2 linked regions of the Diceros bicornis minor genome follow. The protein of the gene in region 2 purifies or fractionates together with the protein of the main gene of each other region. This does not show direct contact. Links are inferred from orthologs where the notes say so. Each region holds a gene or a part of one and is shown on either strand. Other genes may lie near its edges.

The links.
Region 1: the proteins of CSTF3 (region 2) and CSTF2T purify together in Homo sapiens (co-immunoprecipitation; 4 studies listed by BioGRID and IntAct, counting the BioPlex papers as one, with this or other methods). This does not show direct contact. The link is inferred for Diceros bicornis minor from reciprocal best matches to the Homo sapiens genes CSTF3 and CSTF2T.

What each region holds. Positions count from the first base shown.
Region 1 is NC_080745.1:52,118,227-52,134,626, forward strand, and holds CSTF2T (cleavage stimulation factor subunit 2 tau variant), read left to right. Parts: upstream 1-8,172; 5' UTR 8,173-8,428; coding exon 8,429-10,294; 3' UTR 10,295-12,137; downstream 12,138-16,400. UniProt on the Homo sapiens protein: May play a significant role in AAUAAA-independent mRNA polyadenylation in germ cells. Directly involved in the binding to pre-mRNAs.
Region 2 is NC_080770.1:35,099,417-35,116,460, reverse strand, and holds the start of CSTF3 (cleavage stimulation factor subunit 3), read right to left. Parts: upstream 7,591-17,044; 5' UTR 7,477-7,590; coding exon 7,450-7,476; intron 1-7,449. UniProt on the Homo sapiens protein: One of the multiple factors required for polyadenylation and 3'-end cleavage of mammalian pre-mRNAs.

The sequences.
Region 1 (16,400 bases), on a different chromosome or scaffold from region 2:
GTTAAATGAGGTCATAAGGGAGGGGCCTTAATAAGGGTGGGGCCCTAATCCAATATGACTGGTGTCTTTATAAGAAGTAGAAGAGATGCCAGGGATTCACACACAGAAAGGAAAGGCCACATGAGGACACAGCAAGAAGATGGCCATCTGCAAGCCCAAGAGAGAGGCCTTTGGAGAAAGCAAACATGCCAGCACCTTGATCTTAGGCTTCCAGCCTCCAGAACTGTGAGAACATAAATTTCAGTTGTTTAAGCCATCCAATCTGTCGTATTTTGTTGTGGAAGCCTGAGCAGACTAATAATACACTGCCTGTGGGTTCTGAGAGATAACAGAGTATCATTAAATACTACCACCACCACCCCCTTTCACTTAACATGGTTGGAGTTGGTTTCTGTACTCGGTCCAAGAAGTGCTAGCTACTGTGTTGCTATAAACATTGGATTTTACATTTTTATCTAATTTCTGATCCTGAGGAATCTAATTGTGTGATGGCAAATTTGAACTGGCACTCTGAAGTAATGTTTTTCAAGGATCATTCAAATGTGATAATGAATCCAAAATACATTCTGTCACACTGGTTGTTGTTGTTGTTGTTTTTAACAATCTGAGCCCTCAAGCAAGTATTTCAGGAAGGCCTCTTTCCTGTAACTTGGTATAAATACAGGATCGTTCTAGAGGTCAATCAAGCCTCAGAAGGGAGATACCAGTCTAACTTCTGAAGTGAACGGCAGTTCAGACATTCCTCTGAGGTTGGAGGTTAGATTGTTCTGGTCACAGAAAGAAAGATTCACAAGTTGTTCATCTTGAACAGGATGTCTTTACTCAGGACCCGGTTTCAGGGCTTGTACTTTCCACAGTTTATGAGGACACTTCCTTCCTCTGTGTTCTTTCAGGTGACAGCCTGAGGCAAGAATAGGGAGCTCTGCTTCTTGTCCAATTAGTTATGCTTTTCCATGTTTGAATAAATGGCTTATGTCTGCCAGTGCACGCTCCAAAGTAGTAGTCCTAATGACATCCTGAACATGGCTATATGCTCAAATAGGTATCCTGTGTGCCAGACCAATGCAGGGTTGTGTAAGCCTCAATCCTCCACAGTCAAAGGTCACACAGGCCCTTTTCATAAAAATGAATGAGTGGAATTTCAGCCAACTAAATATTTGAAGAGTGCATTTCATGGTTTAGTATAAGAACCTAGTGAGCATCAAAAATGATCAGTAAAATTCTCATTGAAGTGTTCTAGAGGATTAAGCCTAAAAATTATCCATGTTCAACTACAAATCTACTACAAATTAAAATGACAATGTTATCCAAGGTTGTCTCGATACAATTTTTAAAATAATATAATCTGACGACAGATCATTAGTTCACCCAGCTCAACCCCTTCAAAGATAAAAATGGAGATACAGACTCAAAAATAAATAGCATTAGACTAAAATTTGGGTCTCTTTCCACTTAAGATGCTGCTTCATCTGCTACTATTAATTCTATATAACAAGTGTAGACTAATAATTACCATACAAAATAACAATAAAAACAAATACGTTATGTATTCCATGCAACAATCCAATACAAGTGATATTGTTCCCACTTAATTGATGCAGAAATGGAAGCACAGAGAGGTTAAGTAATTTGTCTAAGGCTACACAGTTACTTGTTGAACTAGGCAGCCAACCCAAGTCTCTCTGACTTCAAAGTCTATATTCTTAACTTCTTCACTCTACTACCCCTAAGAAGTGCTGAGAGCATAGTTTGGATGAGGAAGTCTGAAGATCTAGATCCCATTACAAGCTAGGCCAATAACTAGGCATCTGACCCTGATTGAGTCCCTTGTCTTCCCTAGACTTTATTTTCTTCATATATTAAAAAAACGAGGTTGTACAACACAATCGCTTCCAAGGAGAACATTTGGTTCTGTCCAACCTCCAGCCCTGGAATGGCATATTCCCAGCAGTCCCAAATTCATGTAATCTTCCTCTTGCCAATAAAAGTGATTCATCTCATGTATAAGTAATGAAATTTACTATTTCTTCCTCTGTACATTGTTTCATAATAAATATATTTAAAAATTGGGAGAAAATGTCACAGACCAACCTAATTTGGGGTTTGAGAAATCTGGGCTCTTTCATTTTATGGAAAACGTATTTGTATCCATTTAACTAGATATTTTTAAAAATCCTTAAGTGATGTTTAACTACAGCCATGCAAATTGCAAAAGGAAACATTTTCTCCCTCGCTTTAGTCTTTAGACCTTATAGTCCATCTGTTGCCACAGCACTGATTGTGATGTCAAAATTGCAATTAGTTACACTCAGAGACAATCAGTAAAAAGGCCAAGGGAGATTGTGTTCAGGCCTCAATACCACACTAATTATGAAGTAGGAGGTTTAAAATCAAGAGAACTAATTTCAGGCTGTAGCTCTGCCACTGACTAGCTATGTCTCCTTGATAAACTCATTTAATGGAATAATAATTCAAGAGCTTGAGTTCTTGAGTCAAATGATGTATGTTCAAAACCTGGCTCTGCCAGTTATGATGGGCACTCTGTTAACCTCTCTGTGCCTCTGTTTCTTTAGTTATAAATTCAGACACTATGACTGCCTATCTCAGAAGGGTTGTTGAAAGGATTAAATAAAATATTGTATTTTATAAAGCACTTATCAGAGGAACTCCTTCCTATTAAGTGATCAGAGTTAGCTTTTATGAATAGTATCTGTATTTTGAGTGAGTCCATTGTTAAAGTTCTAGGTAACAGTTCTCTGTTAAAACATCTTTAAAATCAGAATACAACTGTATATACCTCACATGATTGTTGTCAAGATCAGATGTGGGAGCCCAAAGAAAAGTGTTCTGTAAGCTGAAAGCATTAAATTATCATTTTGTTAACATGTAATCTGTTATTACAAGATGATTTTGTATTAATTTTAAAAATATTTACTGAGTGCTTGGAATATAAAAGGCACTGGGCTAAGCAATATGAACAAAATAAATCAGATATGGGTCTGTGCTTAAGTGGTAACACAAGAATACTAGCACCTCTATTACAATATAGAAAATAATGGGTGCCAAATCAATACTCTACTTTAAAAAGAAAGTCTTTAGGGTGAGAACTGAAGGACAAGAAGGATTTAGACATGGAGAGATGAGGAGAGAAAGACGGAAAAGAAGACATCCTCAAAGAAGGAATAGTAGATCAAAAGCTAGGAGCAAAAGCTAGAAGGTGGAAAAGCACAGATCATGTGTGGTGAAAAATGAGGGGTACAATTTAGCCAGAGGAGAATATATGAAGGCGGCAAGTGAGTAATGAGAATGAAGCCATGTTATAGAAGATGTTAAATACAGGAAGAGCCACTGCTACATTAGATTAAAAAATTATAATGATGTAAAAAGGATAGTCCAAGTGCAAAAGATATCATGGAGAAGGACTGGATAAAATTGGTATTCTTAAACCTCTGCCATTTTTATTCTATGTTCATGATTCAGAAAGATGGAAGAAAGCCTACTGACTCTCACATCAAGTTTAGATTCATGAATCTGATCTTCAAAACCTTTTGTAATCTGTCCCAAAAGACAATCTTTTATCACACTACTCACGAACTCTCTATTGGTTTCCTCTGGGGGCATCAAAAACACTAGGTTTCAATTTCATGTCTTGGCTATTCCTAGCTCCTGGCTTAGTCTCTTCATCTTTTGTTTATACATACCAGATTATAACCCATCCCTTAAATCCCAGCTCCATTAGGAAGCCTTCCTTGATGATCTAGACCTTATCACTCTCTTCAATCTCTACATACTTCATTACATATCTACTTTATCAAACAGTAACATGAAAGAACTATCACTGACCTAGGAATAAAATGACAAGGGTCTTGACAGCAGGCCCCTATTCTGATTTTGGGCATGCTTTTAATGCTACAGGTTTCCTCTTGCGTAAAATGAAGAATTTGTGACTTAGCTAACTCGAAGGTCACCTCCCATCATTCATTCAACATACAATGAGCACCCACCTGTGCTAAGCTCTATCCTAGGTGCTGAGGATACAGTGGAGAAGAAGACAATGTATCTATGTATCTATCTATCTACCTACCTACCTATCTATAATTGTCTCCCTTTAGTTCAGTGGTTCTCAAACTTTAGCCTGCATTAGAATCACCTGGGGAGCTTGTTGAACCACAGATTTCTGGGGACCGGCCCGGTGGACTAGTGGTTAAGTTCCCATACTTTGCTTTGGCAGCCCAAGGTTCACAGGTTCAGATCCCAAGTGTGGACCTACACACCACTTATCAAACTATGCTTGGCAGGAGTCCCACATATAAAGTAGAAGAAGATGGGCACAGATATTAGCCGGCACCAATCTTCTTCAGCAAAAAGAGGAGGATTGGCAACAGATGTTAGCTCAGGGCTAAGCTTCCTCACACACACACACACACACACACACACAAAAAAAAAAACCCACAGATTTCTGTACACACACATACACGCACACCAAGAGTTTCTGATGCAGTAGGTTTGGAGTGGTGCCGGAACTTTTGCATCTCTAAGATGTTTCTAGGTGATGTTCATGTTACTGAACACTTACAGAATCTATGTTCTAGTGGAATGTTTATCTTTTTCACTGCAGTATTGCCAGTGCTTACAATAAATATTTATGGAAGAGAATAAATATGTCACTTTGTTAATTGACAAAGGGAAATCTAGCTCTTTCCTTGAATGATGTCATAGTTTAGAAGGAAAAATCATAATTCTACTAAAAAGTAGAAGAGTTACTATCATCAGAAAGGTATGGATAAGGAATGGTTTATATCCAAAGGAAAATGAACTCACTTTCAACCTAGAGGAAGAAGGAGTAAGATTAGAGAGAACTTCATCGGGGAGTGTATTTGATCTATTCTTTGAAGGACCCATACACTTATTTCAAAAATGCCTGTCATAACTAAAAATATTTTTAGTACCTCGTTTTGGAATTTGTCTAATTAATCTATGGTGAATCTTTTTTAATACCTGCAAGTCTACAGAATCTTTGTATTCTGATATAAGTTTTGATGTTTGGAAATAGCTAAATATCATATTTTTGCCAAGTCTGGTCAGAAAGTTAGGTGATTTAGTTGCATAACTCTTGGTTGAAAACAAGGTATACCTTTGAGTTAAGGCAGCAGTTTTCTAGTATGACTTTCAAATGGAGCCCTAAAACAATTTCAGGGTAGGAGTTCACTTGAACAATGGAAGCCTTATGGATTATGTTTATACTTTCTGAAGGTGGTTAGTTTGAAGAACAGCTCCCACTTGGCCATATGCTCTGATGTGTTTGTTTAAAAATCATTCTTAGTACAGTTGATATTTTGATTTATTGAAAGAATCAATGTTTGAACATGCAAGATGCCATGTACATTTTTCTTCAAAGTATATGCCATGCTATAAAAATCTAAAGTTTAAACATCCTGGGAACAAAGAAAGCAGTATAAAATGAAAGTTCTTCCAAGGTAGATCTATGAAAAGTATGTATTGGTACCAGGAAACGTGCACAGGTTCCTAACAGCTCTTGGTAATTCTGGGCCACTCAGTTACTAATAAATATTAGCTTATGCATCCTGGGCATTGAGCTATGTGCTGGGTCACAATGGTCCTCTCTGAAGGGCCATATTAAACCATTCTTCTGGTTTTGAATAGGGGGACTAAACAGAACATGGAAGGCCTGTGACAAAAATCACACTCTTACAGTGATGCCTTCTCCCTTCTTGTTCATCCCCAGAGTTCCTCAGCTACTCTGTTCACGCATCCTTTGTGCCCAGAGTATCTTCAGTGTGGGATCAGCATGTACTAGCTATACTGGATCAGCATTAAAATATTAATAGATTTTTTAAAGACCACTCATATCTCATACCTTTTAACAGTGTACTAAATTTACGTTGGCCTGACATAAACCGAAAACAAAACAAAACAAAACTACTTCAAGTCCTTTCGTTTAGATCAATGATTCTTAAAGTGGGGGTCCCCAAACCAGCAGCATCAGCATCACCTGAGAACTCGTTAGAAATGCAAATTCTCCAGTCCCACCCTAGAAACACTGAATCAGAACTGAGGCGGGGCAGTGGTGAGGCCCAGCAATCTGACTTAACAAACCAGGCTCCAGGTGGTTCTGATACATGCTGAAGTGTGAGGACCACTTGTTTAGATACTATCAGCACCAGCAAAGAAACTCTGTCAAATAAGCTGTGCAACCTATCATGAACTTTACAACTTATTCTAATAGCCTCTTATTATCCTTAAGATTACTACACTTAATACACACACAATTACACACATGACCGATGTCTAAGTTGTCCTTGACAGATTGTGTGTAGAAAAGTCATGGCTTCTCTCTGCAAAGGGATAGTACGGAAAGGAGACAAACGGACTTGTTTTTAGACAAATGGACTTGTTTTTAGTTTTCCAAAATAATACCATCCTCAACTTCTCTCCACCCCTGCCCCACCTCCAATAAAAGAATCAGGAGGGAAAAACCATTACTAGCAAGTGGCTATTCTGTTTCTTTCACGTACCAGGAAGATTTTATTAGGTCATATAAATACACTTTATTACTTGCAGATATAAATTATCATGCACCTTGAGTAAATAGCTATGTCCAAGCCTGTTTTAAAGAATTATTAAAACACTTGAAGGTAAATGGATGTTTTGTCTAAATTGTAGCTAAACCCATCATTTCAGATCTATTCATTGGACTATGACACCCAAGAACATAACACAATTTTTTGATGAAACAAAGTTTCATAAGCTCCTCAAAGGGCATATGTAGAATTAAGAGGTAAGACAGACTCTAGAACAGTGCAGTTCATAAACATATAATGCAATACATATATATAATTTTAATTTTTCTAAGTAACTACATTAAAAAAAGTAAAGTGAAATGAGTGATATTAATGTTAAAATATATTTTGTTTAATCCAATATATTAAAAATATCATTTCAACATGTAAACAATACAAAATTAGACATATTTTAACTTTTTTTATACCTAAGTCTTCAAAATCTTGCATGTATTTTACACGTATAGCACATCCCAATCAGAATGCTAAATTTTAACTGTAAATACTTGATTTTTATTTTGATTTAATAAAATTTATCATTGCAAAAGTAGATTCCATACCCAAACATCCTAAAAAGTTTTCCATTAGCCTAACTGAATCAGTTTTTATATTTAAATTAATAAAAATTAAATAAAATTAAAAGTTCAATTTCTTAATCACACTAGCCACATTTCAAGTACCCAATAGCTACAAGTGGCTGGCGGCTGCCACATGCAGCAGCGCAGCTCTGGAGCTACAACAGACCAACCGGCATAAGAATTCTGGCTTTGCCGTTTACTGGCTGCTTAGCAAATTACCTAGGTCTCCCCAAGTTTCAGTTCTATCGTCTGTTAAACGGAGGAAAAAACCTAGGCTCCACATATGTTTCAACTTCTGCCGGCAAAACTAACAGACTAGAAACAACTACAGTTTGTTTTTCCCTTCATAGTAGAGGTGTGAGATCATTGCCTCAGTTTATAATAATCAGAACCAATCTAAATGCCTCCAGTATAAGAATAAATTCATTTAATTCACGCTCTGCAGTCTTTAAATGCTATTTATTATTAACCACTTAATATAATTAAGGGAAAAAAGGGTAATACTATGAATAGCTCGACTGCTGCCTGGATGCACAGAGGAAAACCCGGCCGGTCCCGTCGCCTATCAAACAGCGGTTATCCGAAGCAACCAGATGGGGGGGGGGGGGATGGATGGAGCAGGCTCATTTGCGCGGCGTGTATTTCGGGGCAGGTATTTTCCAAAAATGTTTTTCTAAAACGGAGCGATTACTTTTGTATTTTCAGGAGCAAATCCCAAATCTGTTTTGAAACGACTACACTTTCCCCTCTTGGTCTAGAATGTGATTTTAAATATAGCTTAAATATAAGGAGACACTGCTATACGAAAACCCTTCCAGCAGAACGAAGAACACACCGCCTTAGCTTTCGGTTGGCGGTTTCCCGCCGGCAAACCGAAACAAAGCCGCCCTTGACGTCAAAGGAGGCCGCCTCTGCTGGTTACCATGGTGAAGTCTATGCGGCCATCTTTACTGGGGTCAAGGCGCACCGGGCTTTTCCTGGCGGGGGTGGTGGCGCGCCATGGAAAGTCTGCGGATTAAGAGACGAGAAAGGAATCCTGCGTCTGGGTAAGAAGGAGCTGACAGAACCACAAACGATCAAGGGCAAAAAGCATTAGCTAATTAAGTTAGTGGAACAAAGAGGCGCAGATTTCGCGGAACGACTCAAGCCGACTACTGAGGTTTCTGCCCGGAGTTTAAAAGCTGCTTCCGTTGCTCAGCGGAAGTGTGGGTCGCAAGAGGACGACTCTGGGAAGAATCCGTTCTCCGCCGTGTCTGCACAACCGGAATCATGTCGAGCTTGGCGGTGAGAGACCCAGCAATGGATCGATCACTGCGTTCCGTGTTCGTGGGGAACATTCCGTATGAGGCAACTGAGGAGCAGTTAAAGGACATTTTCTCAGAGGTTGGTTCTGTTGTCAGTTTCCGGCTGGTGTACGATAGAGAGACCGGAAAACCCAAGGGTTATGGCTTCTGCGAGTATCAAGACCAGGAAACCGCGCTTAGTGCCATGCGGAACCTGAACGGGCGGGAGTTCAGCGGGAGAGCGCTTCGGGTGGACAATGCTGCCAGTGAGAAGAACAAGGAGGAGTTAAAGAGCCTAGGGCCTGCAGCGCCCATCATTGACTCACCCTATGGGGATCCCATCGATCCAGAAGATGCCCCAGAATCAATTACCAGAGCAGTTGCTAGTCTCCCCCCGGAGCAGATGTTTGAGCTGATGAAGCAGATGAAGCTCTGTGTCCAAAACAGCCACCAGGAAGCTCGAAACATGTTACTTCAAAACCCACAGCTGGCTTATGCACTGTTGCAGGCACAAGTAGTGATGAGAATCATGGATCCAGAGATTGCTCTGAAAATTCTGCATCGCAAGATACATGTCACACCACTCATCCCAGGCAAATCTCAGTCTGTCTCCGGCCCTGGCCCGGGTCCTGGGCTATGCCCAGGCCCTAATGTTCTGCTCAACCAGCAGAATCCTCCAGCCCCTCAGCCTCAGCATCTGGCTAGAAGACCTGTGAAAGACATCCCTCCTCTGATGCAGACCCCGATCCAGGGTGGAATTCCAGCCCCGGGGCCAATACCAGCCGGGGTTCCTGGACCTGGTCCCGGTTCCTTAACTCCTGGTGGAGCAATGCAGCCCCAAGTTGGAATGCCAGGGGTTGGTCCGGTGCCTTTAGAGCGAGGACAGGTGCAGATGTCGGATCCTAGAGCGCCTATGCCTCGTGGACCCATGACTGCTGGTGGCCTGCCTCCTCGAGGACTGTTAGGAGATGCTCCCAATGACCCACGTGGAGGGACTTTGCTTTCAGTCACTGGAGAAGTAGAGCCCAGAGGCTATCTTGGTCCACCTCATCAGGGTCCCCCTATGCACCATGCCTCTGGTCATGACAACCGTGGCCCTTCTTCACATGAGATGAGGGGAGGGCCATTAGCAGATCCCAGACTGCTAATTGGAGAGCCCAGAGGACCTATGATAGATCAAAGGGGCCTACCTATGGATGGCAGAGGTAGTAGAGATTCTCGAGGGATGGAGACTCGAGCCATGGAAACTGAGGTCTTGGAGACACGAGTAATGGAGAGAAGAGGAATGGAGACCTGTGCAATGGAAACCAGAGGAATGGAAGCAAGAGGCATGGATGCAAGAGGAATGGAGATAAGGGGCCCTGGTCCTAGTTCGAGAGGCCCTATGACTGGTGGAATCCAGGGTCCTGGACCCATTAATATGGGGGCAGGTGGTCCTCAGGGACCCAGACAGGTCCCAAGCATTTCAGGGGTGGGAAATCCTGGAGCTGGCATGCAGGGGGCAGGCATACAAGGAGCAGGCATGCAGGGAGCGGGCATACAAGGGACAGGCATGCAGGGAGCGGGCATACAAGGAACAGGCATGCAGGGAGCAGGCATACAAGGAGTAGGCATGCAGGGGGCGGGCGTACAAGGAACAGGCATGCAGGGGGCAGGCAAGCAAGGTGGAGGCCAGCCTAGCAGTTTTAGTCCTGGGCAGAGCCAAGTAACTCCCCAGGATCAGGAAAAGGCAGCTTTGATCATGCAGGTTCTTCAACTGACTGCAGATCAGATTGCCATGCTGCCTCCTGAGCAAAGGCAGAGCATCCTGATTTTAAAGGAACAGATCCAGAAATCTACGGGAGCTTCTTGAAAAGTTTTAGAAAATATTTAGCAGTAGTCCCAGAAAGTTTTTTTGTAATGGAGAATGGGTGCAGAAAGCTGACTTCTGCATCCCCACACTTGAATGATTAGAGTTTCTCTCCTCCCAGAACCTAATCTTATTTCTTCTTGTTGTCTTTTTCTTTTTTTCTGTTTTCCTTTTTATTTTTAATTGGGGGGGTAGGGGGAGGAAGGGGTGGGTCTGTTCAATTCATTGTAAATGTACAAAAATAACTCTGAACATGATTATATTATACCAAATAGGATTACAAAGAATATTCAGCAATATTAAAAATGTCTACAATATGTTAACTACATTTTTAAAAATACTGAGTAAAATGATGTGAAAACTGCACATAAAGACTAAGAGATGACCTATTAAAATGGTAATGTACTAATAAGATAGTTTAAGGTTTTTGTTTGTATAAGAAAATAAAGAAATTGACCACAAAATTTTAAGATATATTTTTTGGTAAGCCATTTAAAATACAAAATCCTGTTTTGGGGGTGATAGAACGTATTAGTTGAAGCATCGTTTTAGTGTTTTGGAATTCTTTTGAAACATTAGAGCTAACAGGATAAGTCTAGCTTGTGGTATTGGAATTTTTTTTTTCTAAAGCTGTGCTACCTGAAAAATCAAGGAATGCATCTGGTGTGATGTGATGTTTTATTTATCTCACCCTTCAGGGACCAGCAATATTCAGGCCTTGCCCTGAGCAGGATGATTTTGCTGGGACAGTTCTAGGATCAACCGGGTTACTTAAGTCTTCTCTGATGAGAGTCAATATCTCTCGCACTATCTTCCCATTTCTCAGTAGTCTTTAAGCCCTAAATGTGAATCTGAGTAATTCTCTCACACCCTTCCCAAACATCAGCATCTAGGGACCAGTTGATCTGGATGAGTTATACACAGCATTGGGCTTTTCATAAATAGTGGAAGGCTTCATGCATTAGAGCTCTCAGTTTGCTGGTTACTAGCTTCCATATACAGATGGTATCCATCTGGTCAACCAGAATCAGGAGTTAAAAATCTTAATCTGAGCAACATTTAACATGCCTTTTAGTTTTCTTATTTCAAAATCTACCTATCTATCACCATCTTATCAGAATAATTGAGGCCCAGGTAGGTAGAGATATTCTTGTAGCCTTAATTCCCTGCTCAGTTGGTTATTACTCACTTTACTTTTTACAAGTAATAAAGTTATTGAGTCCTAATATATATACCCATGAGACATTTAAAAATCAGTAGGAAGGTCGGGCTATCACATTTTCTTTAGAGCTACTACCTAATTTATTTTTAAGCCTTGAGGATATAGACACAAAAATTTGTGTCATAGACCAACTAGTAATTAACAGAACCATAAACACACAAATAACCAGATGATCTTACTCTGGAGAAGAAAAACCAATATCTAGTTAAGAGGAAAAAATATCATTTAATGAGAGAGCTGAGACTTGGAAATTGAATTATTTTCCCCTTGCAAAGTTTTTACATCTTAAATGGGTAATTCATTTTTTACAAAGTTTTTATCCCTATGCTGTTGTTTCCTGCTACCTGTTTTACTCCTCTTTTTACTGTTGTTGATACTGTTAACTTTCTCCTGTTTTCTGTATGCTTCCCCTGTATTGGAGGGGATGACTCTCCTTTATGTGTGATAGTTCCAGGCAATAGTAATTCACCGAGTTGGCTTGATTCCTTTGAAATTATAGTTGTTTTATCCCAAAGCTTTCACTGAAGGGCTTTAACTGAAAACTATTAAATGTTATGCTCTTGGTTGTAGTAAGATCCGTGCATTGTTTAATGCAGACTAAATAAAATGTACAATTAAGGCTGACTTTAATATCTGATGTTTATTTTTAATGAATGCATTATTCAAAAGTTATCTATTCTTGAGAGCCCCATGGGGCCTGAATACTTTTTTCTTTTAAATGAAAAAAGCAAAACTAAAGAAATTGCAGGTATGGATGGAAATCCCTTTCTTAGATTCATTATATGTATAATTCCACAACTGAAATAACTATAAAGATGTGTTATTCTATGGTTGGTATCAGTAGCAACATCTTGGTGGATACTTAGGCTTCTTTTCTTTATGTTCCCCACAGAGAACTCTTCTCTGTATCCCAGGAACACCTACTTACAGGTATCTTTATTACCAACAGAGTTTGTTATATTGCAATGCACTATTTTACGTGCTACCCCCCACTCCCACTTTTAATAGATCAAGAACTCTGAACATGGACTGTCTTACTCACTTCTGTATTCCCTATAGCAGAAATCACAGGACAAAACATTCTATCAGAGTCTTAAGGAGAAAAAAAAATTCCACTAAAAGCTCATAAGTTTCTCCCCAAAGGATTTAGATTCCACACAGAACAAATGAGTTATACCAAATATTTGCATTAGAAAATAAATTAGAAATAAATAATAGAAGCAATCTCCTTTACTCTGGTAAACTTAATAAAATAGGTTCTCTCTCCTCACTTCCAATTTACTGTCTGACTGTCCCAGCTGTTGATGTAGAATATAGAGCCTTATTTCATTTGATAGTGAAGAATACAAGCAACACATGTCTGCTACCATCAGAATCTTATGTGTTTTACTGTAATTGTTGGTTATAGCCCCTGGCATCCTGCATTTTCCCAAATACCGGTAGACTACAAATGAAATCACAGATTCATTCATAATAACAGTAGCTGAAGATACTGGGGTGAAATACTGATTCGCAAATGCCTCTTGAGTGCTTATTCCTCTTGTTGGGAATATGAAATGTTGAGCTTTAATTAGTGCCTGCCCATTAGCCCTTCCCCTCTTATAGTACTGATTAATATCAAAATGTGTTTTAATGTCTGCTGATGTCCCAGGACTTCTGATTTTGGGGTATTTGATAAGACATAAGCCAGTGTGAATCGCAGGTGAAGGGAAGCTAATGCAAGTGAGATCACGTATGACTTCTCAGCCACACTTTTCAGAATTCTAATGGCAGAAAAGCATTAAAAAGAGAACCTTAATGTAATCACAGCTTGCAAAGCTTCTTGCTTTTCCATGCTGTGATGGGACATTAACTAAGCACACAGAACCTGATCTCCTATGGTGTGTCAGGCCTATCTCTTAGGTCTGATGAGGGCTAAGGATAATTATGTGCAACAACCTACTGTGGCAGAGAAACTGAATTATCAGTTATATTTCACAGTCTTCTCACAAAAGAATATGTCAACCTCTCACTGCTGTATATCTTCAGCTAATCTCTAGACACACTTCTGGTTGGAGTTTGCTTTTCTCATCAGTCCCTTATCAAGAATGCTCTATAGTGAAGACCTAATTGATTTTAAGGAAATTAATATATTTAAAATAATATAATTAATGTTAATAGTATGACTATTATGATATCGGTATATAAAATGCTAATATATTTCATATATATGTATATTTCAGATCTTAACCAGCTCTTTTAATATTTTCATTTGCTTTCATGCACCCTGAAACAAAAGTTTACTCCCTTGGTTGAAAATTCAGCTTCACAAATATTCATATTACAAATTACCTTTCTCATGAGATGTTAACTAGCATGTTTTTTCTTGATATTTTTCTACCACAGTATAAAGCTTGTGTCAGTAAAGGGAAGGTATTGTATTAAAAGTGACATTGGGGTAGTATTGTCAAAAATAACAAACCTGGGGCTTATTAAATACTGTACATAAAAATACCAAAGTCTTTACCTAGAAAAACAAACTAGATGTCCTAGTTAATGACAACTCTTTATAACCAGGAGTTGATTTATGTCCCAAAGATAGGTCACTAATTATCAAGGAGTTAGAATAAAATATACAACAATTCTCAACCATAATCGATTTTGTATGATTCAGTATGTATAAAATCTGCAGACATTTGAAATCAATCTCATTTGTGTCACAAGGTTGGTCATTTAAAAAAGTCTTATCTGCTTGATTAATTATTTGTCATCTCTCACAAAAGTAGAATGGATAATCTCTTGGGCATCAAGAAATGAAACTAGTAGTTTTCCCAAAATTATTTTGTCTCTTTATTTAATTAACTGTTTTAATCAGAATTCTGTCTGATTACATTAGTAATATTCTTCAATAATTTTAGTGCAAAAGTCTGTGGGACACTTCGATGTACCTGTCAGCCTTTGACTGATTGCCTTACTACCTCTCCTTGCTGCCTGGAGTGAATATGAAGCAACCTGTACCTATTTAGGAATCTACTTATGTATTTATCCCCAGAGAGTCCACAGAAAAAGATACATCTGCTGTAACTCAATCCCCAATTTCCTTTATCTTAAAGGTTCACTGTAATAAACATTCAAAACAGCCACATTAAAAATTGTATATTTGAGTTAATAATATGATAGAAAGACCTATGTAGGGCTTTCTTGATGCACTAATTCATAAAATCATATTCTATATCCCAAATATCACACTTGTTAACATGTTCAATAGTATAGCAACATAAACAAGGACCTAACACATTGGCAGACACAAACCTGGCTCTATGAGGGTGAAGACAACCATTGCCTATTATAGAATATATTTCCTACCTTTAGGTAAGCCTGTATCCAAAGTGACTTCATCTTTTTATGCTTATCAGTCATCATTCAGAGAAAAAGAACCTCATCTATTTTAAGAAACAGAGAAACTACATTGTTGAAATCTCTAGAATTACATACCTACCCTCCAACCCCCATGTCAATTTTATCAAAGTTCTGTCCTGTAGAAGCGTTAAATGTCTTTGGACAAGGGACTCCAAATTTGTGGTCTGTGGGCCAATTGAGCCTGCAGATATGTTTTGCTTGACCAGCCAGAGGTTCTCAAAAATGTTGAATTTGAATGTATTTAGGTGCAGCATATGGTCTCCAGCTTGGCCACAGGCCCAGCCTCTCTCTATGGTCTTGTACTAGGTTTGATTCACACAATTACTTGCCAGTGCTTGTAACAGTTTTGAGTTTACAACTCCTACTTTTACACTGTATAAAAACACAGCTCTTAGATTCAATTGAAATTATTAATGTCTAATATGATAAATGTGAAATAGAAGAACTGGTTCAGCAAGTATATTTCTGCAAAATCAATGAACCAACGAAACAAAAACAAAAAAAAGATACAATGCATTTTTTATTTATCACTTTTCATGAGGTATACTGAGCAAAGGAATGTCCTGGAACACTAATCCAATGAGTACATTTCTGCCACAAATCTGTTGTGGTTTTAATAAACATTAAGCCAAAATAGCAACATCTTTGTTAATTCAAAAATATTTTTATAAAATGAGAAATATATGTCATATAGGTAAATAATATTAAATGCTAACAGCTTTAGAATGCACATATATATAGTATACATAGTAGAACAGAGTTCTTTTTTTTTTTTTTTGTGGGGAAGATCAGCCCTGAGCTAATATCCATGCTAATCCTCCTCTTTTTGCTGAGGAAGACTGGCTCTGAGCTAACATCTATTGCCAATCCTCCGCCTTTTTTTCCCCAAACCCCAGTAGATAGTTGTATGTCATAGCTGCACATCCTTCTAGTTGCTGTATGTGGGACGCGGCCTCAGCATGGCCGGAGAAGTGGTGCGTGGGTGCACGCCCGCCCAGGATCCGAACCCGGGCCGCCAGCAGCGGAGCGTGCGCACTTAACCGCTAAGCCACGGGGCTGGCCCCAGAGTTCTTTAATTTGTCTGTTATTAACCAATTTAAAAAAATGATCCACTATGTAATTTCCACACTGATTTTTAAAAAAAGAAAAAAACCTTAATCAGATTATGTCATTCCCTTGTTTAAAAACCTCTCATGGCTTAAATTGCTCTTAGAATAAAATATCATGTCTTAAAAAGCCCTAAGTAATTTGGATCCTCCTATCCCAACCTCACATCCTACCATTGGCCCCCTTACTCACTGCTATAGCTACTTCAGGCCTGGCTTCACTTGAATTTGTCAAAATCATTTTCATCTCTGGGCTTTGTACTTGGCAGTTGCCCTTGCTCTTACCTGACTCTTTCCCCAGGCCTCTGAATGGCTAGGTGATTCTCTTCACATAGGTTTTAACTTACATATCACTTACTCAGAGAGGCTTCTCCTGAACACC
Region 2 (17,044 bases):
TTTTTGATGATTATAACCATCCCAGCGGGTGTGAAGTGGTATCACATTGTGGTTTTGACCCACATTTCCCTGATGGCTAATGAAACTGAGCATTTTTCATGTTCTTATTGGCCATTTATCCATCTTTGGAGAAATATCTATACAGATTCCTTGCCCATTTTTAGTTGGGTTATTTTTTCATTACTGAATTGCAATAGTCCTTTATATACTATAGATACAAGTCCCATATCAAATGTATGATTTACAAAAATTTTCTCCCATTCAGGGGGTTGTCTTTTCACTTTTCATGTTTAACCTTTTTTTTTTTTTTTTTGGTGAGGAAGATCAGCCCTGAGCTAACATCAGTGCTAATCCTCCTCTTTTTGCTGAGGAAGACCAGCTCTGAGCTAACCTCTATTGCCAATCCTCCTCCTTTTTTTTTTCCCCAAAGCCCCAGTAGACAGTTGTATGTCATAGTTGCACATCCTTCTAGTTGCTGCATGTGGGACGCGGCCTTTGCATGGCCGGAGAAGCGGTGCGCAGGTGCACGCCCGGGATCCGAACCCCGGGCCGCCAGTAGCGGAGCACGCACACTTAACCACTAAGCCATGGGGCTGGCCCCCATGTTGGTTTTTTTTTGTGAGATCAGCCCTGTGCTAACATCTGCCCATCCCCCCCCCTTTTTTTTTTGCTGAGGAAGACTGGCGCTGGGCTAACATCCACGCCCATCTTCCTCCATTTTATATGGGACGCCGCCACAGCATGGCTTGCCAAGCAGTGCATCGGTGTGTGCCCGGGATCCGAACTGGCGAATCCCGGGCCGCCACAGCAGAGTGCGCACACTTAACCACTTGCACCACCGGGACAGCCCTGGCCCCCATGTTTAACCTTTTGTTTGTAATGTGAAGCTAATTCAGAAATAGAACTAATGGCCTCACAGGCAGCATGCACTAGTTCAACGGTTCTCAAACTTTTTGTAAAGAATCGCTCTGCACTCTTAAAAACTAAGGAACCAAAGAGATTTTCTAAAAATGTGGGTTATATCTATCAACATTATCACATTAGAAATTAACACAAAAAATTTAAAAGTATTTGCTAATTCATTTTAAAATAATAAACTCCTTAATTTTATTTAAAAATATTTTCCAAAACAAATAAATAGTGAAAACAATGGCACTGTTTTACATTTTTGTGATCTCTTTAGTGTCTGGCTGAATAGAAGATATTATCTGCTTCTGCTTTCCATCTACTGCAATATATTGTTTTGGATGAAGTATATAACCACATAAGTACAGTTATATAGCTGGAAAAGGGAGAAGTATTTTTAATAGCCTTTTCATACAATTGTGGACATGTCATGTAGCCTCTGCAAAACTCTCTATTAGTTAAGCTTTACTAAAACTGCAAATCAACTTTCTTTCTATATGGCATCTTAATTTACAATAGGGACTTGTTAACTGGGGGAGGAGGGTGGAGAAGTGACAGACACTATTCTATTAATGATTGAAAGAATAAAATAAAATAATCTAATTTCCTCTTCCCATTCTCACCAGGGAAGTAAAACTTGGACAGGAAAAAAAAGGTAGTTCTCTTTCTTCAAATAGCTGTCTATTTTTGTAGTAAATGGGGAGGGTGTTATGCTAGAGGTCATACCGAAATTAAGTTAAAATAAAGATCAGTGAGGGCCGGCCCCGTGGCCTAGCGGTTAAGTGCGCACGCTCTGCTGCTGGCGGCCCGGGTTGGGATCCCGGGCGCTCACCGAGGCACCGCTTCTCTGGCCATGCTGAGGCCGCGTCCCACATACAGCAACTAGAAGGATGTGCAACTATGACATACAACTATATACTGAGGCTTTGGGGGGGGAAAAAATAAATAAATAAATAAATAAAATCTTAAAAAAAATAAAGATCAGTGAAAATTTAATCCAAGTGATAAATGTCCAAAGTGGGGAGGGAGGTGGCAAGTTAAAGGACTTAAACCTAAATAAGCTCTTGACCATGACCACCAGAACAAACAGAGATGCGTCTCAAATCTGGTTTTGTAATGAGTGTTTTCCACTATTAAGGGTAATGACTATCTAATTACAGTAGGGGGAGGAAAATCAGTAAAATAAGCCTAACCATCCTCAAATAATCTGCATTTTTTTTCCTCCACTTATTTTATCAAGGAGGTATTCAAAAACAACTTTTAAGATCCAAGTATCTTCAACCCCTAACTAAGTGGTTTGCAAGTTTTCGTTTATATAAAAATCACCTGTGGTACTTGTTTCCAGTGAAGATTCTCAGCCCCACTCTCAGAATCGGATACAGTCTGTCTGAAATTAAGGTGCAGGCACCTATACTTTTATAAAACACCTATGTGACTATGATGCAATAGACATGAACACCATCTTGAGAAACACTACGTAATCTATCTGTTCCATAAACACATTTTTTTTAAATGTTATGTTTCCTTAAAAATAAAGTGGCATCAGACCTAAGTCATTCCAAGTCTTCTATTTTTTTGCTAAAACATTAAGAAAATTGCATATACTATACCATACACTTGAAGTCTTAAGTTTCTCTTGGTAGTCAACCTTTTTCAAAATTAAAAAGCAGGGCAGCACTCTGCAGAAATATCTGCAAGTAGTAACTGAGCCAATTCACACGCCTAGAGAATAAAGCATTTTATGTGACAGGTGTCACATTAGGACTGGATGCCAGCTTAGTCCTGGGTTCCTTTACCAGTGCAACAGAACTCTACTAGATGTTTTATTGTGAATGAATTTAAATACGTATCCTGAAATATAAAGCAATAACCTCTTCAACCTTTCCAAAGACTAAAAATCTACTGAACATGCAAACAATTCAAAAACTTAAAAAAGTAAAAATAGGCCAAAGGTTATTGGTTCAAGTAATTATACTTATCATATTTGCTTATTAAATTTGCTTATTCATCCCCTAGGAAATAAATAGCTACAAACTACAAATAAAAATCGATTAAGATTTTTGAATTTGAAAAATAGGACTTCTTTAGACCAAGAGTAGCCAAGATACTAATTCACTAGATAAATTAAGTGAAACGTTGGAAAACATCCATTAGGACATAGTTTTGCCCTTCTGGTTTTTTTTTTAAATAATTTTATTTATTTATTTATTTTCCCCCCAAAGCCCCAGTAGATAGTTGTACGCCATAGTTGCACATCCTTGTAGTTGCTGTATGTGGGCCGCGGCCTCAGCATGGCGGGAGAAGCGGTGCATCGGTGCGCGCCCGGGATCCGAACCCCGGGCCGCCAGTAGCGGAGTGCGCGCACTCAACCGCTAAGCCACAGGGCCGGCCCTAATGGATAGTTTTTAATCAGTAAATATTGAGTAAAACCAGAAGGGCAAGAGCCGGCCCCGTGGCTTAGCGGTTGAGTGCGCGCACTCCGCTACTGGCGGCCCGGGGTTCGGATCCCGGGCGCGCACCGATGCACCGCTTCTCCCGCCATGCTGAGGCCGCGGCCCACATACAGCAACTACAAGGATGTGCAACTATGGCGTACAACTATCTACTGGGGCTTTGGGGGGAAAATAAATAAATAAATAAAATTATTTAAAAAAAAAAAACTATCCATTAATCTAAAAACTCTAAATATTTGCCCAACTCAAATCCCTTTTCAGATCAATTCTCAGACCATTATCAATTGTCCGGCAAAACAAAACAAAAAGACTCAAATTCACAGCTAGATCTTGTCTAAAGAAAAACAAAGATTTAGAGACAATGGCAGAAAAGCTTAAAACTATGAATTGTTTTTGGCAACTGTCCACTTAATAGGTACAAACATGAATACAGATTTTGTCATTCTGGAAGGTCTATCCAGGATGTAAACTCCTGTACTCCCTGAAACTCCTGTATTCCTGATGCTAAAGGAAGGCAATCTCTCCTAACAGTACCTTTCTGTGTACCTCTAAGGAAAAACAATACTTTTGTAAACAAAGATCAATCTCTTTTAGGAACAATTATTGCCAAAAGAGCACATTCCATACAGTCCACTTTTCTCAAGAAATATTAACAATAGGGGCAGGCCCCATGGCCTAATGGTGTGCTCTGCTTCAGCGGCCCAGGTTCTAGGGTTCAGATCCCAGGCACAGACTTACACCACTCGTCAGCCATGCTGTGGCAGCGACCCACATACAAAATAGAGGAAGACTGGTACATACTTTAGCTCAGGGCGAATCTTCCTCAAGCAAAGAAAAAAAAAAAAAAGGAAATATTAACAATAAAGATCAAATGAAATTTGCCTGCCCAAAACTGGTATACTAAATATCACATAAAATGGGAGAGGGAAAAGTAAGAAAGGCTATTACAGAAAGATTTTGTTAAAAACAGATAAAATAATGGGGCCCAAAGAACGCATCATCTAACATACATACTTGGCCCTTTCCCTCCCTCTTCCTAACCCACACACACATCCACTCAGGCTTTAAAACTGTTTGGCGCTGCTCTTAACCCTTAACAGCTAGTAAGTACTCATGGTAACCCAACAAAATAAACCAGGTTTCAAGTTTCAACACTGTGAGTGTTTCATCTTTCTTTCCTCATTAATAAGTACACAAAAGAACACCTATTTTTGGGGATTTGCTTCTAAGTAATAGGGGTGGGGAGAGCAAGCGAAAGCATGGAAAAAACAAGATTAACCATGAGTTGAAGCTCTACTTTTTTGCATGTTTGAAACATATCAAAAAGTTGAAGAAAAGATTATATGAAGATGACTCTCTGTCGGTAATCAGATGTTCAAAAATATCTTTTTAGATCGATGGAAAAAAGATCCAGGAGCCATCATAAAGGTTAGGATAAGTTGAGCATCCAAAAGAAAAATGGCTATAGGTGATTTTAACATACTATTAAATACAAGAAACTCTTGAGACCACAGTGATAATCTTTAAAAAGGAGGGACGGGGGGGACAGGAAATTCCTTCTTTACAGAGAAATATGAGCCAGTAAACAGAGACAGAATAACAGAATTTTTTTCCCCCTTTTTCTCCCCAAAGCCCCAGTGGATAGTTGTTATGTCATAGGTGCACATCCTTCCAGCTACTGTACGTGGGAAGCGGCCTCAGCATGGCCGGTGAAGCAGTGCGTCGGTGTGCGCCCGGGATCCAAACCCGGGCCCCAAACCCGGGCCCCAAACCCGGGCCGCCAGCAGCGGAGGGCGCGCACCTAACCACTAAGCCACCGGGCCGGCCCCCAGAATTTTTAAAAAACTACCATTTCCCACCTCCAATGTAACAACTGATTTATTCAATGATTATCAATTGATGATAAATAACTAGGTAAAAGGTTATTGAGGAACATAGTATCAACCCACAGATTACTAACTGCAAAAGGGGAAATAACCCTTTACAATGAAGAGATCCACAGTCATTACCCTAACCAAGTGATCAAACTTAATCATCACTAAATAGTGGAACAACCTAGCATGAAGTGCCTTTGGATGTAACGTTATAAAGTATTCTATCCAAAAATATTTAACCCAAATATTATCAAAGTTCTGAGTTTACACCTAAACATAAAGTTTTCAGGAAATACAGAAGATGAAGGGACAAGTTAAATGACACCACACACACAAAAATCAAATAAACCCAGAAAATGAAAAGTCCTACAAGAAAACTGTCCCGGATTCTTCAACCAGACATTATCCTAGGGGAGACAAAAACAGAGGAAATATTCAAGAGTCATAACCAAATGATGTAATGTGAACCCAGATTAAATTCTGATTTAAAAAAAAAACAAAAACTGTATGAATCACTTGGGACAATTGGGGAAATTTGAATATGGACTTGATTTTATAAATGATACGGTATTACTATTAATTTTTTTAGGTGGGAAAATGGTATTACGGTTACATAGAACGGCATTAATGTCCTTATATAAGAGAATGCTGAAACGTGTCCACTGACTTTCAAATAAATATGTACAGAGAGAGAAAGCAAATATAGCAAAACGTTTAATAGTTGTTGATTCTAAGTGAAGAACTGTACTGTAGGTGTTCACTGCACTCTTTCTCAACTTTTTTCTATGTTCTAAACTTCGCAAAATAAAACTTTTGGATGAAATTTTTTTCTCTTAAGTTTTCACCACCAGCTCTCCCATTTAAAACACCACAATTGTGAACTATTCCAGGTCATAGCAACATTTCAGTGTCATTACAATTTTAGATAAATTTAAGAATTAACAATGGATTCCAAAAACTTTCAATGAAACCTCAGTACATTACTCCTCCTCAACTTTCAGATGACAAAATATGAGCCCAGAAAAACAGAAAGGGTAGTTATATATAAACAGATTTGATATAATTTTAAGATTTGGCATTTTTGGCTATTCTAACAGCATGTGAAATGTAAACACTGCGAAGATTTCAGAACTGAAATCAATCGACAAGCAAACACAAAATTCAGTTTAGCCAAACTTTCTCGACATAATGCAATTTACAGTCACCCAGACTACTCGACGGGAATGCTCGAATTTTGCCTCGTCTCTGTCAACCTCCAAGAACAGCCTCCACGTTATAAGCTGGGGACTTGAAAAACGAAAACCTAAGTGTATTTCGTTGCTATGGCAAAGGGAAATTTCAAGAAATTGAGACTCCGCAGGCTAGCCAGCCTCCATTTTAAAAATTATTTACCTAAACATACCAGGACTTACATCGATAAACAAATTGAATGACATCTTTTAAAACATCAGCTTCCTCTTTCAAACTAAGAGATAAATACTATCCTACAAAATTCTGAATAAAGAACAAAAGAACTTGTTTATCTAAAAATCTGAATTTCAAAATATTTAAGCGTCACTTATATGCAATACTAAAACAGCTGCTTTTCTTTACAACTTATTCTCACTTTCGATGTATCAAATTCTGCAATATTTGTATCGCTGGAAAAACGAAAATGAAATGTGGATAGAGAAAGAAGAAAGCGGGAGAACGCCACAAAATTCCCAAATCTCAGCATAACCATGCTCTACTCCCAAACTTCCTTCTGCATTCGCTCTTGCAAGAATCTATTTCTCCAATTAGTCTCATCTTAATTTCTTCAACTAGTAACCTATTTCTGGGTACAGTATATACAGCAGAGGGGACGGAGGGAATATTGTTGAGTTTTTCGAAAACAGCGGGTACACGTTAAAATAATCAATTCCTAACGTCAAAACGGTATCAAAGGCAGGCATCCCATCGGAGTAGTGCCACGAATTTAAACGGCAGGAAGCGGCTTCCCGGCTATTGTCTAAGTCAAGTATTTGTTCATATGAGCGCCTAAGACAGAAAAGCCAAAAAATAATTTTAAATCTCGGTCAGATCTTGCTCCCATTCCCACCACCCCTCTGCACGCGGTCCTGCGGGTTCATTAGACCCGCGACTCCTTCCTCGGGCGAACATGGCTGGAGTACTCGGACCAACTGAGACGTGGAGAGAAGAGGTCGCCACGAGGCCCCACCACTCTCCTTCCTCACCTGTTCCGTGGCTCCGTCTGCTGACATGGCCTCAGCTGATTAAAAGGTGCGAACTGGCCCGCGATGCGAAGCTAGAAAAGAAAAATTAAACTAAAACCCACCCCCAAACCAGTCAAGTTACCCCCTGCCCAGCGGAGCCAGACCGCCAACACGAAACGCCACCGCCCACTCAGATATGAATTAAAATGGCTGCGCCCCTGCCGGCCGAGAAGGGAGGTGTGGCTTCTGCATTCACTTCCGGGGCAGCGGGCGGAGCTGAGAGCACAGCTGACCGGTCACTCGGGCGCGCAGAAGCAGAGAGGTCCCAGGGGCGGGCCCAAGGTCTGTGCTGACGTCACGGCCCTGGGGGGAAAAGGCTGCTGCGGCGCTGGCTGCCACCGGCGGGGAGGCGGGAAGCCGTTCCGCCTGGAGGCTCGCGCGCCTTTGGAATGGAATCGTCGAGCTGTGGGGAATCTACGCCGCTGTAGCCTGACTGCCAGTCAGTTCAGTTCAGGCAGATGGCCACTTGGGGGGAATGCCGTGTGAAATGACTCCAATATTTTGGAGATGAATCCATCGAGGTTTTCTATGGTCTCGGCTAATGCTTTTTACCCTTTTGGGGGATGAGAGGGACAGATCAAACCGTATTAACATACACCGTTACCACCTGCTATTGTGTCTGAGGCTGTGAAGACAGGCAGGCCGCGTTTTAGGCTCAGCGTCGCACCGTGGTTCCTCGTCGGCAAGGTGGGGATCATAGCGCTCAGGCTCCGGAGCTGCGTTGTCTGTGCTGCCTGCGGCGCACTAGAGGGCTGACCTCCTCACTAGCGGGGTGACTTCGGGCGACTGAAATTCCCCAAGCCTCAGTTTCCTGGCCTACGATAGGAATAACAGTAGTACTTGCAATTTAGGTAAGTTACACAGGAGAAAGTGCTCGAAACAGTACCTGGCGTAGTTTGAGATTACGTGAGAGCAAGTCTCAAATTCTTTCATTCGAGGCTCAGCATGCGATGTCTCCTTCCACCCTCCTTCCCCACAGGGGCCTACGCCCCAGACCAAGTCAGCTTCTCAGCTTTCCCCATACATGCCTTAACTCTGCTCAGTCGCCCCGCCTCTGCACATCTTTTCACCTCCGCTCTTTCCACAGCCTGAATTCTTACCCTTCCGAGTAATCAGACACAGGCAAAAGAGGTATGTTAACATGTTTATCACACCATCCAACAATACAGGACTAGTTAAATGTATCTCTATAATGGAATGGCATGCAGCCAGTCAGCTGATGCTGATACACAGTTACTGACAGAAAAAACATCCATCATATTGTTAAGTGAAAAAGCAGAAAACGAAAACAGTGTATATTAAATAGGATGTGTAGTATAAATATGTAGTATACACACAGTAGTTCAAAACATGAAAAGTAGTTATCTCTAGATTGTCACAATTTTTCTCTTTTTATCTGCTTCTGAGTTTGTCTATGATGAACTAATGGAAGAACAACAGTCCTGAAGAATAGTATTCAGGGTTCCGCCCGGGGGCGCAGTGGGTAAGTTCACGCGCTCTGCGCGGTGGCCCGGGGTTCCCTGGTTCCGTTCCCCCGTGCGCACGGGCGCACCGCTTGTCAAGACGTACTCTGGCGGCTAAAGGAGAGGACGATGGGAACGGATGTTAGCCCAGGGCCCATCTTCCTCAGCAAAAAGAGGAGCATTGGCGTCAGATGTTAGCTCATGGCCAAGCTTCCTCACACAAACAAAAAGAAGAATAGTATTCACATTCCATTCTTCAAAGTTTGACTCAAATGCCATCTTTCCGCAATATTTTTAATGAAAAACTTAGATAAAAATTCAAAGAATAATGCAATAGATACCTGTACTGTATCCCCACCATCTTGATCTACTGACTAACATCTTGGCATGTTTGCTGTATATGTATGTATTTATAGATATAGTTTGTGTTTTTGCAAAATAATTTGAAAGTAAATTATAGACATAATGATACTTTATCCCAAAATAATTCAGTTTGTTTTTTCTGAAATGAGGACACTCTTCGTATCTACAGTACCATTATAGCACCTAAAAAAATTAATAAGTATTTCCTAATATATACTATTCAGTCCATATTCAAATTTTCCCAGGTATCCCAAAAGTGTCTTTATAGGAAGTTTTCACAAATCAGGATCCAATCAAGTTTCAAGCATTGCATTTCGTTGTTATATCTCTTCAGTCTCTTTTATTCTAGAAATAGTCCACTCATCTTTTTATCTTTTATGAATTTTTTGAGAGAGCTGGCCAGTTGTCTCTAAGAATATTCCATCTTCTGGAGTGATTAGATTCAGGTTAAACATTTTGGCAAGAATATGTCATAGGTATAGCTATGAACTTCGTTTTGTATGACATCAGGAGATACATCAAATTACTGATTGATGCTAAGTTTGATCACTTGTTTAAGGTGGTGACCATCAGATCTCTCCATTAGGTACAGTTCACTTTTTGTAGTTAACAAGTAATTGCAGAGTAAGACTTTGGCGTGGTGTCCATTTCCTGTTCCCCTGCAAATTTTCACCAGGGTTTGGTCGTCTATTGATTAATCTTTCCTGAATTAATAATGAAATATTTGGTGATTAAATAAAAATGTTCTAATTCCATTATTCCTTCTATATCAATAGAAAGCTCTTTTGTGAAAAAGTCTTCTTCCTCATTAACCTTTAAAAAACAGGGTAAATGCTTAATTTTTTCCCTTTAATGACCAATTTTTGAAGTAAAGAGTTCAATTTAATATTAAACTTCAAGCTTTAATATTAAGCTTCAAGTAGTGAAAAATGAATTTTTTTTTCTGGCTTTCTCTTTTTGAGTATCATTGTGGATTTATGAGTTTTTTAAGACGTAAGTTGTTTCAATCAATTGCAATCATTATTCTTTTGGGGCCAATACGAGTCCCTTCGTACAGGGTGAGTGGATCCTATGTCTTTTTGACATGATGCCATTAGTCTTGGACAACTTCTTGGCCTAGTGGTACAGGATGTCCCAGGCCCACTTATGTACTTTCCCTGTCACAGACTTGGACTCAGTCTCAGGCATCCTGGTTCCTTCAGTTTCGGAATAGTAATTAGACTCAAGATGTGGGCAGTAGATGTTCTCTTTGCCACTGGATGTCATTGCTTCTAGGCTTTTTCAGTGCTCAGAGATAGGAAATGTATTTTTTAAATTATGAGTTCGTATATTGATTTCCAATTCAAATTTAACATTTTTTTCTTTATTGATTTTACATTTGTATCTCTTTTCTCTTATGCTGAAAATCTTGGTTCCTACAAAATATATTTAAAAGTTTCTAAGTTAAAATACCAATACTAAAATATCAATATATCAATAACACTGGGCCGGCCCCCGTGGCTTAGCGGTTAAGTGCGTGCGCTCCGCTACTGGCGGCCCGGGTTGGGATCCCGGGCGCGCACCGACACACTGCTTCTCTGGCCATGCTGAGGCCGCGTCCCACATGCAGCAACTAGAAGGATGTGCAGCTGTGACACACAACTATCTACCGGGGCTTTGGGGGAAAAAAAAAAAACAGAAGGAGGAGGATTGGCAATAGATGTTAGCTCAGGGCTGATCTTCCTCACACACACACAAAAAAATCAATAACAATACATTTGCTGAGTGAGGTTTAAGATTTCTTTAAAGTTCTTTTTGTCCTTAGATTATGTTACATTAAGGATGTTCAGTCAGAATGCCTTGTACAAAAGTCACTTGAAATAATTCTTCTCTCTCGGAGTTTACCGGAGCAATTTGATATATAGTTAAGTTCAACTCTTTCCATTTGTTTTCAATTTTAATGTTGGCTTTTTTAGATGTAATTTTATTTTTAAATCTGAAAACCCCGTTATTTGGCTCAAGAATCAAAACTATGTAAAGAGGTATTCTCAGAGAAGTTTTCACGTCAGTCTCTATCCCCTCCACCCACTCAAACCCATTCCCATCCTCTATAGGTAACCATTTTTATTAGTTTTCAGTTTAATGTTTCTAGTGTTTCTTTTTGTGAAAATAAGCAATGCATATATTTCGCCTTATTTCTTTCACAAAAGGTACACTATTGTACACCTTTTTTACTTAGTTTATTGTGGATGTCACTCCCTACCAGTAAAGTAGGGAATGAAATAATGAAAATAAAGATTTTCTTCCATCTTTTTTTTTTAACATTTGCATCGTACTTCACTGTGTGTTAATTTTATTTATTTATTTATTTTTTCCCCCAAAGCCCCAGTAGATAGTTGTATGTCATAGCTGCACATCCTTCTAGTTGCTGTATGTGGGACGCAGCCTCAGCATGGCCGGAGAAGCCATGCGTCGGTGCGCTCCCGGGATCCGAACCCGGGCCGCCAGCAGCGGGGCGTGCACACTTAACCGCTAAGCCACCGGGCTGGTCCCAGTACTTCACTGTATGGATGTCCATAAGCTTACCCAAGCCTACTAATGGATGTCTGTGTTGTTTCCAATCTTTTGCTATACAAATAATGCTTCAGCAAATAATCTTGTGCATATGTTGTTTTACATTTATGGATATGTATCTTCAGGGTACATTCCTAAAAGTGGGATTGCTGAGTCAAAGGGTAAATAGACATGTATTTTATTAGATCTTACCAAACTCTCTTCCATGGGAATTGTGCTATTTTGCACTCCCAAAATCAGTGTAGTTATTTTTCCCACAGCTTCTTCAGCAGTGTGTTGTCAAACTTGGATTTTTGCCAGTCTGATAGGTAAGTCGTGGTATCTCAGTATAGTTTTATTCACATTCCTTTTATTATAAGTGAAACTATGATCTTTTCATACATATTAGGGTCATTTTCTTTTACTCTGAACTGTCTGTTCATGTCTTTTTGCCCATTTTTCTGTTTATTTTTGGTCTTCACTGTCTTGTTTTTTAAGAGTGCTCTCTATATTATAGAGATTAACTCTTTGAGTGTTATATAGGTTGCAAATATTTCATTCCTATTTCTCATTTATCTTTTAATTGTGCTTATGGCCTTTGGGGGTGAGGGACAGGTGGTTGGTTTCTCTTTCTTTTTGTCATGTAAAAAAATTTTTTTTGTTATGTAGTAAAATTTAGCTCTTTTATCACTCTGGATTTTGAGACCAAGATGGAATGGCTTTCTCCATTCCCAGGTAATAAATTCATTCATGATTTTAGTACTATTTCAGTAGTTTCATTTTTTCCATGTAGATAGGGTTGCCAGCACTGGCAAATAAAAACACAGCACAACCAGTTAAATTTGAATTTCATATGAACAACAAATAATTTTTTATATAAGTATGTTGCAATGGGCAAATGTAGGCAACTCTGCATTTTAATTGGCAACCCTACATTTGGATCTATGATCCATTTAGAGTTTATTCTGGTGTATAATAGCCAGTATGATTCCAATTTTATCTTCTTCCAAATGCAAATTTTATTTTCAAAAAGTAATTTTTAATGAAAGAGTAGTTTAAAATAAATTATGACAATATGACATTTTGCCCCTGAATGCTATATTTTGCATCTTTTAAAAATTAAGAGGGGCTGGGCCGGTGGCACAAGCGGTTAAGTGCGCGCACTCCGCTGTGGCGGCCCGGGGTTCGCCAGTTCGGATCCCAGGTGCGCACCGACGTACTGCTTGGCAAGCCATGCTGTGGCGGCGTCCCATATAAAGCGGAGGAACATGGGCATGGATGTTAGCCCAGGGCCAGTCTTCCCTGGCAAAAAAAAAGAGGAGGATTGGCAGATATTAAGGCTGATCTCCTCACAAAAAAAAAAAAAAATTAAGAACATTTTCCTACCTGGCCAACATAAGCCTCCCACATCTAGTTAGATTAATAATTCCTTAACATCACTAACATCCAGTACATATTCAAATTTTTCCAATTGTCCCAAAATTTCCTTCACACCTGGTTTGCTTAAACCAAGAGTCAATCCAGAACCATACGTTGTGTTTGGTTTTTCTGTTCTTTATGTCTCTTTTAATCTAGGACAGTTCCTTTTTTCACAACGCCGATTTGTTTGTTTTTGTTTTTGTTTTTTTTGTAAGGAAGATAAGTCCTGAGCTAACATCCGATGCTAATCCGCCTCTTTTTTGCTGAGGAAGATTGGCCCTCGGCTAACATCCATGCCCATCCTCCTCTACTTTATATGGGACACTGCCACAGCATGGCTTGACAGGTGGTGCGTCAGTGTGCGCCCGGGATCCAAACCTGCCAATCCTGGGCTACTGAAGCGAGCGTGCGTACTTAACCACTGCACCACCTGGCTGGCCCCCCACAACACTGATTTGTTGAAGACAACAAGCCAGTTGTCTTTTAGAATATTACACTTTATGGATTTGTCTCATTGTTTCCTCATGATGTCCTCCCATGAGTTTCCTGGAAAGGCACGATTAGATTCTATTACACAAGATAAAACTTAATAGTAGATTAGGATGGAGACAGTCTGATTCCAACATTTGTATTGTTATATTATTTTCATCTTGCAACTAGAAAGTAATCTGTATGATGTTCTTTGGAACCACAAACATGTTAAGTTCCTCGTCAATTATTCACCTAACCGTTCTTATACCAACTGATAATCTTTGACTTGCTAATTTAATTAGAGGTTATTTTATTATCATTTTCTGATTATATAATTGCTTTTACATTTAATTACTAACATTCTTTCGAAAAGTTTTCCCTTATGAACAGGGCTATTTAGTTTATTAGAAAGCAGGTTAAAGGCTTAATTTTCCTCCTTTAATTATCAAATTTTAAGTAAGAAAGTGAATTAATAATACATGCTTCAGATGGTGACAAATTAATTTTTCCTGGATTTTTCTTTTTTGGGTATCATTTTGGAATTCACAGACTTTCGTAAATCCAATGTGTTTCAATAAACTACAAGTAAGAGAGTGTGTTGTCCTAGAAGCCGTGTGAAGAAAGTTTATCAGGGAAAAGGAAGTGATCAGCTGTGTCAATACAGCTGCTAGGTCAAGGAAGATGAAGACTGAGCATTGACCACTGGACTTAGCAGTATAAAGGTTACTGGTGACCTTGACTACAGCAGTTTTGAAGGTGTTATGGTGGCAAGTACCTGATGGAGTGGGTTTAAGAAAGCTTGAGAGGAGGGGAATTAGAAAGCAAGTTTTTGAAGAGATTTTCCTGCAAAATCAAGAAAAGGGAGAGGGAGACAGTAGCTACTAGGACAGTGCAGTCAGGAGAAATGTTTATTTTTTTATAGATAGCTTTCAGTAAGTAGCCAGAATTCGTTGGGGAAAGAAAAGGTTCATTCTCTGTTTCTTGCTTTGTTGGTACATTCTGCCTGGTGAAGGACAGCAGCCCATAAGAATTTGTTTTAATCTCTTTCTGAGCAGTCTCATTCGGCTGGCCCCTGTAGACTCTGCTCCTGTCCACCTTATTTTCTTTGTCCTCACTGCCACTCCATTAGTGACCACTTCCCCTTCTTTTATAGCCCAGCCAAAGCATATTTCTTCCAGACACTTCTTTTTTGACATATAACATTGTATTAGTTTTAGGTGTACAACTTGATGATTTGGTATATGTATATATCACAAAATGATTACCACATAAGTCTAGTTAACATTCATCAGTACACAAAAGTTACAGTTTTTTTTCTTGTGATGAGAACTTGTAAGATCTGCTGTCTTAGCATCTTTCAAATATACAATACAGTATTGTTAACTATAGTCAGCTGTACATTACATCTCCAGAATTTATTTGTCTTATAACTGGAATGATACAGTAGCAAGTAAAACATCAGAGATAAAAGGGAGAGGTGCTGGAGTAAGATAGGCAAAGGAGCATGAATGTCATGCATATGGAGAAGGGACTGGCCTGAGATGGAAGTAGAAATAGTCCACAGACAGAAGAGTGGAGTGTGTGAGTGTTGGTGCCAGGACATGTCAGGTGTGTTGAGAAGAGTATTTGGAAGCTCCCTTGTGATTACTTCCATTTTCTCGTAGGAATCAAGGTCTTCCGCTGAGAAGAAGTTTGGGGTTGAGGACTTGGGGGTTGGAGGAGAGAGGGGAAGGTATGAAATGATAATTTGGGAGGGGTGGGGGTGAATTGACTAGGGACAGATAGTAAAATTGCAATCTATTGGTCTCGCTGAGATTTCTGGTCATGGATTTAAAGTGGCCCAGTCAGCTTGGTTGTGTTCACCAGCACAAGTACATGTGTGGATTAGGGGAAGAGAGCTGCATTTAACCAGGGGTGTGGTTTTGTCAAGTGAGCATGAGGAAGAAAAAGGGAGGAATGTGAGTAGAAAGTTTATGCAAGGGAGAGTTTATAACAATTGACCATGGAATTTAAGCTGGGTAAGGAGAGGAAATGGGACACCAAAGAGTGAGAGATAGTAGTATCATCAGATTTGAGGACCTATGGCAGCATCAAAGGATCTCTAGAAGGAATGAACTAAAAACATTGAAGGTGGTGATCAAAGAATGGATGCAGAAAAATGAGATCACAGAGGATCTATAGTTACTAATAATGACAAAATCTGGGGTATGACCATAGAAGTGAGTGGCTGAGGTAGGTTGGAGGACAAGATCACTGGAGGTGAGTTCAAGAAATTGAAAACTGTAGGTATTGGAAGGTTTGTCTAGGCATGAATTGAAATTAACAAGAATTAAGAAAAGAGCACTACTGATGAAAGAAACCACAAGCCAGGAACTAAAATCTTTGAGAAATGTAAAGAAAATATTTCCAAATATTAATGACAATGCTACTACTATCAATCACACTAATGAAAGAAGTCTAAAATTTCTCTATAGCAGAGGTTCTTAGATCTTTTGGTCTCAAGATCATTGTAAACTCTTAAAAATTATTGAGGACTATACAGAAATTAAAAGTGGTAAATTGTTAAAATATTTATTTATTTACAAATAAAAAAATGATAACAAGTTAATATAAATAAAATATGTTTATGAAAAATAACTATATTTTCCAAAACAAAGAAAATTAATGGGAAGAGTGACATTTTGCAAATCTCTTTAATATCTGGTCTAATAGAAAGCACTGGATTCTCAGGCTGCTTCTGCATCTGCTATGTTCACATGTCATGTAGCCTCTGGAAAACTCTGCTGCACACTCATGAGAGAATGAGAGTGAAAAATGACTTAAATATCCTTATGATATATATTGCTCTTGTGGACACCCTGAAAGATCTAGAGACTCCCATAGCAAGACACAGTACCTTCCAGGCCTTTCTTAATAAAAGCCCCACTCGTGCAGAGCTCACCTTCATTCTGAATTGTCTCAGCACACACCAGCCCTGATTTAATTAAAATGTTGTTGAGGGGGCCGGCCCCATGGCTTAGTGGTTAAGTGAGCATGCACTGCCGCACCACTTGTCAGGCCATGCTGTGGCGGCGTCCCATATAACGTAGAGGAAGATGGGCACGGATGTTAGCCCAGGGCCAATCTTCCTCAGCATAAAGAGGAGGATTGACATGGGTGTTAGCTCAGGGCTGATCTTCCTCACAAAAATTAAAAAAAAAAAAAAATGTTGTTGGTATTTTTACTATATTGTTTTTATATTTTTTTCAGTATTGATCCTGACAGCCTCCAGTCACCTCAGGCTGCCTCTCTGAGTGTTCTAAGTTACC